Linked DNA regions of Danio rerio. The protein of the gene in region 1 purifies or fractionates together with the protein of each later gene. This does not show direct contact. Links are inferred from orthologs where the notes say so. Each region holds a gene or a part of one and is shown on either strand. Other genes may lie near its edges.

Region 1 (3,759 bases):
ACTTTACTCAACAGTTTCTTCTCCTCAGTGTATTGCATGTGTTCACGAGTGGTGTGCACTTATGTACTGACTATGACTTCCTTAGTTTGAAACAATTCACAGACACATTTGAGGTAATAAGCAAGTCAGAGGTGCAACCAAACGCGGCACATAAATGTGAGCATTATACTGACACAGAGGAGAAGAAACTGTTGAAAAAAAATCTGTAGAATATAGAAGATTTTAAGCTGGAACTATTACCCTCTAGTATTTACAACTACATTATCAGCTATTCACAACCTGGACAAACAGCTCTGAGGAAGATTTTAAATATATTAAACTCAAAGTGATGGCGCTTCTTGACCACCATTATATAGATAACGTACATAGGAAAACATAGTTCTCAACTTAAAAAAAAAACGTATTTTCTGTTCTACTTAAGAACAGAATCTTGGGATGTCAATTAACCGAACATTTTAATATCTGGGTGAATTGTCCGTTTAAAACAGCCCCTTGACTGCATGTACACCTGAATGGGCAGGTCACACAGAAGCGGGTCCTGCACTATGAGAGCCAGCCCTTCTTCAAAGATGTCCAGAATTTCTGAGTGTGGAAGAGCCTCCTCGTCTTCTTCCTCTTCGTGCTCCTCTTTTATTTCATCTTCCACAGTTTTCTCCTCTAACTCTTTTTTGAGCTCGGTTTCGTCCTTTATTTCGTCCATTTTATCTTCAAACGTCTTGTTTTGAGGGTATAGAAATCCAAGACTTATAAAAAAGTCACTAAGCGTTAATAGTTAACATAACTACAATTTCGTAAAAAAACTGTACGCCTTTTGCAGAAGCTTATTGTATTAAAAATTGTAACTTTAACAATTTGAGCCGTTCCAGCATTTCTTTTTACATTTCATTTTTATAAACACGCTGTCGGAATATTTCAGTGATGCACCCGACTTTAGTTCCGCATAGGTTTTTTATGATTCACATTCTTTATTACAATAACAATCTTCTATTAAAATATTTTTTAATCAGCATTAATATATTCGTTGACATTTTCATATATATTTAAGTTTAATATATACAACAGAAACAGTGTTCATCCTTGTCTATATTTCGTTTTATGGCGAGCCAATAATACAGAGGCACATTGATTGTCATGTGCTTCCTGTAGCGACTTAGAAAGGACTGTGTGTAAATACCAACTTCAGTTGCATCAGAAAGAAACTATAACTGTATTTACTACGTAACATAATCTATGACTGTTTGAAAATGCTCCTGTTTTGTCCGACATGTGGGAATGTGTTAATCGTGGAAGAAGGACAGCGATGCTTTAGATTCGCGTGTAACACATGTCCATATGTGCACAACATCACGAGGAAGGTAATGCATAACACCGGTTATGGAAATTTGTATCTAATAAGCGTTTGGAACGTTTGATTCGAACGCATTAAAGTTCGACGGAACGCCGACATTTAAAAGTTCGATTCGAATGAAACGAAAGAAATGACTTGATTCGATAATATGAGAACGTGTGAGGAACATCTGATGAGATCAATGTTTCTAACATTACAAATTATATAACAAAAATAGATTTGAGTGAGGGAGTGTTTATGTTCTATCAAACATTGCTTTCAGAGCATGATAAATAACGCTGGGTTACTGAGTAGTTACTTAAATGAAATGGTTAAATGATTATAAGATTGTATTGTACTTTAAAATGCTCTTTATTTCATCACGTTATTATATTTATGTATAAAATTTACAGTTTTAGAATAAATTCTCATTAAAAGATATTTTGAATAATGCTGGCACCCATTTTCTACCATAGTAGGAAATAAGAGTTGATTGAAGTCAATGGATCCCAGCAACATTCTTCAAAATATCTTCTTTTGTTTAACAGAAGATATAAACTTACTCAATGTACTTAATAAACCAAGAACTTCGTTTATATTATCTTGAAAACGTAGGAATTAAAAATATTTTAGAAATTTTTTAGAAATATTGTTATAGCTTCAGGTGGATAAACATCTGGATACTTAAAAGTTTATATTTGATGTCACTTCATAGATACTTATGTATGTGTGTCTTATCATCAAATGTTCATTCATAAATTGCACATACTTCTGAATTAAATCAGCCACAGTGCCACACGCAGGTTAACATTTTACCACCACTCTTTACTTCTCTTGTGTCTATGAACTCCGTAACATTACAAAACTTCCCATCATGCCACCTGTTTCCCGTCTTAAAGACACAGATGCAATTATAGCACATGACAATACTAACTTCAGAATCATAACACAAAACCTGGATAAATAAATCACCTCTATAAACTACTGACATTGTTTTTAAAAGATAGCTCTTAAAAACTCATTTTTGCATCCCCCAAAATGCTGTTGTGCAAACAAATGGCCAAAACACATACAAGTTTTCAATGCTTAGTTGGTCTGTAAATGTAATTGGCTGTTAAGTGAAAAAGTCAATTTCAAACTCTGATTAGAATTCAAAATGACGCTGTTTTAGACACTGGTAACAACTGTATTTATACAGTGACATATTAAAGAAGAGCCACTTGTCATAGTATTTTTGCTATTTATGTCATTGATAGTTTTTTTCAACATTCCGCATATATATTCTTTAAAGTCTGTGTGAAATCCAAATTTACAGTGTTTATTTTACAAGCACACAATGCTATTCTTTAGGTAAATGATAAATCCATGCAAGCTAATTCACCGAAAAAAAAAATCTTTGTTCTGATAATCTTCAAAGTCTGACCATTTGCTCTGGCGTTTGGAGTGGCAGTCCTTCTCTGATGATGTCAGTTTGGCAGATGCATCCACAATATTCCTAACCACGCCCCTCTTACCTTTAGTTGATGAGGGAATGATGTGCAAAAAGAAAGCCCCGCCCCCTACTCAATATGCAGTTTCAGTTTGAGGTCCTTCAACATACTAAAATAAGTCTCAGCAACTTGCAGTAAAATTAAAAACACTTATAAATCACCTTGAACCATCCTTGTTTTTATTAGTATCTAACAATTGAAGCTTGTTTCTATGAGGGTTAGGTTTATGGTCAGGCATAGACAGTATCATTGACCTGATAAAAAAATAGGAAAACAAACCTGTTTATGTGCTTTAACAGGTAAACAACAGAAAGTACCCCAAACTGAAGGAGGTTGATGATGTTCTTGGAGGATCTGCTGCTTGGGAAAATGTGGATTCCACTGCAGGTAAACAAATGAAACTTGAAAAGTAAAGTTTGCTCACAAACTTATGGTGGATTGACTGAGACTAGTCTGAAAGTTTGAAGTAGTTTTAAAGTTTAATTAATTGAAATAGTTTTTAAGAATTTTGAAACAGTCGGCATAGATTGATAACTACATATAGGTCAGCATGTATCTAGTATGGATTGGTATGTTTTAGTATAGATTGGTATATGGTTAGTATGTTTCTAGTGTGGATTAGATTATTATAGTATGTTTCTAGTCTGGATTGGTATATTATTAGTATGTTTGTTAGTATGTTTCTAGTATGGATTTGTGTGTCCTTAGTATGTTTCTAGTGTGGTTTATGTCTCTAGTATAGATTGGTATATTGTTAGTATGTTTTAGTGTGGGTTAGTATATTTTTAGTATGTTTTAGTATGGATTGGTGTGTCCGTTAGTATGTTTCTAGTATAGATTGGTATATTGTTTGTATGTTTCTAGTATGGATTAGTATATTTTTATTATGTTTTATGGTATGAATTGGTGTGGCCTTGGTTTGTTTTTTAATGTGGTTTATTA
Region 2 (3,759 bases), on another chromosome or scaffold:
ACACTCCAGCCAATAACAGAACAGCCACTACTGGGGAGGCGCGACTAAAGATATTATGGCCCCATCTGATTGATCTAATTTAGATAAACAATCAATGAAAAAGAATGTATATTGCAAATACTAATATTGCGATAACAATAATATTATGCATTTATTTATATTTGTATTGTGAATGAAGATAAATATACTGTGATGTATTTATTCAGAAATGAAGATTTGAAGTGTTGAGTCTGCTCATGATTAGCCCCGGCTCCTCCATCCCACTGAGAAGCAGCCATCATCTCACATTGTGTGTAACTTGTTATTTTCCTCATTCTCTGCCTGACTCATACGGTGATTGTGATGATCATAAATACAGTTTTAAGCTCTTTGCAATCCTCTTGACATGGGAGGAGTTACTCGAACATGCAAGAGCCACATCCAGAGTATGTCCAGATATTTTAAACAAAAGATTATTTTCTTACAAACACTATCTGCTGCCAGTTACTGCTGAGCACAACACATGCAGATTATTAATAGGTTCATTAACATTCATTCATTCATTTTCTTTTTCAGCTTAGTCCCTTTATTAATCAGGGGTCACCACAGCGGAATGAACTGCCAACTTATCCAGCATATGTTTTTCACAGAAGATGCCCTTCCAGCTGCAACCCATCTCTGGGAAACACCCATACACACTCATTCCCACACATACACTACGGACAATTTAGCCTACCCAATTCCCCTATAAGCGCATGTGTTTGGACTGTGGGGGAAACCGGAGCACCCAGAGGGAACCCACACCAACCCGGGGAGAACGTGCAAACTCCACACAGAAACACCAACTGACCCAGCCGAGGCTCGAACCAGAGACCTTCTTGCTGTAAGGCGACAGTGCTACCTACTGCGCCACCGCCTCACCGGTTTATTAATGTTATTTTTTAATTTTAATTAATTTTAATTTAATTTATTTTGTCAGCAGCAAACGTCCATCTATACAGACAGTTTTGACAATAATTATTAATAATTATTTATAAAACTGAACCATAGTTGAACATTTATTTAGTTAGCATTTCCTGTTACGTTTTAGCAGTTTTCTTATTGCTGCGTTTTTGAGTCATTTTTTTTCCTGAAGAGTTTTTTACTTTACTTTACGAATATCAGGTTTGTTTTCCTCGTTGTGGATCTCACATCTGAAGTCGGAGCTGATGGTCGCTGTGAGCCGGAACGAAAATACAGCACAACTTGTTTCCACTCTCAGTCGGACTTATTTCGTCTAGCGCATAACACACGCACAGTTCAGCATGGACGAAAGCGCGCAGCGGGTACTGGAGCATCTGACTGAGGTAGAGGTTGCTGCAGAAGACATACTCACCGACAAACAACAGGTGCGATTGAGTTATAGGAGCAGTCAATTATCGGGTAATTTCTGTTTTATATGTGGTGTTTATTGAAGTGGTTGACATGTGACAGATTGTGGATCTGGATGTGCGGAGAAACAGAAACCGAGAAGCTCTCAGCGCGTTAAGAAACAACTCACCAAACGGCGAGTACAGACTACAGAATACTGGTTTATAATGCATTAATGGCACATATGCTTGGTGTTGGATGCAGTGTCATGCGTATAAAACTTGTACTACGTATAAAGCACATATATAAGTACACGTATCTTCCAAAGTAATAAATATTTCATTTATAATGTGTCAGTAATAGGGTTATTAAGCTTATAACCACACCTAATGTAACACCCCGGTATGTTTACTACAGGTTTATTTTTTGTAATTTACCCTAGAATGTTTAATTAACTTGTTTTACTCATGATTTATCAGTTCAGTTCACTATGTTGTCATTTTAGTTTTTATGGCTTGAATTTTTGCACCTTTTTTTGTGAATATGGGTTTAAAAAATCATCCTATGGGTATCCAAAATCTAATAATTTACTAATATTTAATATGATTGTATTATATATGTAATATTAGGGATATTCAAACAAAGAAAAGTAAGTTATCATGACTCCAACCACTGAAAACACACAACTTTTTTATATTTACAAAGTTTTTTTTTTTTTGGCACATTTGGGCTCAGTCCCTTTAGTCATTAGGGGTCGCCACAGTGGAATGAACTAAGTTTTCCAACTATTCCAGCACATGCTTTACACAGCGGATACCCTTCTAGCTGCAATCCATCACTGGGAAACACCCATACATACTCATTCACACACTCATACACTATGGCCAGTGTAGTTGATCAGTTCCCCTATAGCGCATGTGTCTGGACTGTGGGGGAAACCGGAGCACCAGGGAGGAAACCCAAGTCAACACAGGGAGAACATGCAAACTCCACATAGAAACACCAACTGACCCAGCTGGGACTCAAACCAGAGACCTTCTTGCTGTCAGGCCACAGTGCTAACCACTGAGCCATCATGTCGCCCTAATATAAATTCAGAAAACTGTTAATTATAAATAGTGAAATCATATTAGCAGCCAATGACTATCACAGTCCAGTATTGTTCACAGTCAGCTCAATAGAGCGGATGTTGTTTTGAAGTCATATTTACATGCCATTTCTGACCAAATATTCAAAGTAGCATAATAAACATTATAGAGAGGGAGTCACAAGCTGACACTGTTGAAATGAATGAATGTGTGTGTATAAAACAAACTTTACCTCAATAAACACATATTGTATTTTACATAAGAAGATGTTCAGAACAAAATAAACACAGATTTCTTCTACAAAGAGCAAAACTAATAGATGATGCCATTTGCTCTGTAATCTTATTTTGTTTGCCTAATGCTGGTTCTCATTTGAAGTTTGTCTCTGCACATGACAATAAAATTGAATCCGATCTAATCTAGATAATGTAAAGGTGTGTTTTGGAAATATGTTCATCAAATTCCCTCAAGAAAGCACCAGATCAATGATCCTGAAAGGTGAGTGTGTCTTTTTCAGCTGTGCTTTTGTGTGAATAACCCTTCACATGTGCCACTGTGTTTAATAAATGAGCTGTTCTACTGTTCCTGACAGACCAAGAGCAGCTTGATAAGGAAATAACAGACCTCCGCACACGACTGAAAGCGAAAGTGAACCGTCTCAATGAGCTACAAGGTAGAGCTGCTTCATCAGTCTCTTGCTCAGTCATACTTATAAATGGTGTAAACATCTGTGCCGAAGACAAGACGTGTTATTTAGTCTGCGTCTTAGTATTTTTATGTACTTAAAAAGCATTTATATTAGTGCTGGACAAAGATTAACCACATCCAAAATAAAAGTTTATTTGTGATGTTTGTGTGTAATATTCATTCATTCATTTTCTTGTCGGCTTAGTCTCTTTATTATTCCATGGTCGCCACAGTGGAATGAACCGACAACTTACCCAGCAAGTTTTTACGCAGCGGATGCCCTTCCATCTCTGGGAAACATCCACACACATTCACACACACAATCATACACTGCGGAGAATTTAGCCTACCCAATTCACCTGTACCGCATGTGTTTGGACTGTGGGGGAAACCGGAGCGCCCAGAGGAAACCCACGCGAACGCAGGGAGAACATGCAAACTCCACACAGAAACGCCAGCTGAGCCGAGGTTCGGCCCAGCGACCTTCTTGCTGTGAGGCGACAGCACTACCTACTGCGCCACTGCTTCGCCCGTGTGTGTATTATATTTATATTTATTATATATTTATGATACTTGCATACATGTAAACAAAACTACAAAACTATTTTGTTACATAGATATTTAAATTTATGGCTACACTTTACAATAAGGTTCA

The links. Proteins that work in one complex are often made in the same cells at the same time.
Region 2: the proteins of polr3k (region 1) and pdrg1 purify together in Homo sapiens (affinity purification with mass spectrometry; 3 studies listed by BioGRID and IntAct, with this or other methods). This does not show direct contact. The link is inferred for Danio rerio from reciprocal best matches to the Homo sapiens genes POLR3K and PDRG1.

Annotation. Positions count from the first base shown.
Region 1 is NC_133178.1:45,547,173-45,550,931, forward strand, and holds the start of polr3k (DNA-directed RNA polymerase III subunit RPC10), read left to right. Parts: upstream 1-1,119; 5' UTR 1,120-1,244; coding exon 1,245-1,355; intron 1,356-3,116; coding exon 3,117-3,204; intron 3,205-3,759. Other genes in the region: snrnp25 (U11/U12 small nuclear ribonucleoprotein 25 kDa protein), read right to left, coding at 509-700. UniProt on the Homo sapiens protein: Core component of RNA polymerase III (Pol III) which synthesizes small non-coding RNAs using the four ribonucleoside triphosphates as substrates. Can mediate Pol I proofreading of the nascent RNA transcript.
Region 2 is NC_133186.1:392,410-396,168, forward strand, and holds the start of pdrg1 (p53 and DNA damage-regulated protein 1), read left to right. Parts: upstream 1-1,248; 5' UTR 1,249-1,283; coding exon 1,284-1,367; intron 1,368-1,452; coding exon 1,453-1,525; intron 1,526-2,840; coding exon 2,841-2,915; intron 2,916-3,009; coding exon 3,010-3,090; intron 3,091-3,759. UniProt on the Homo sapiens protein: May play a role in chaperone-mediated protein folding.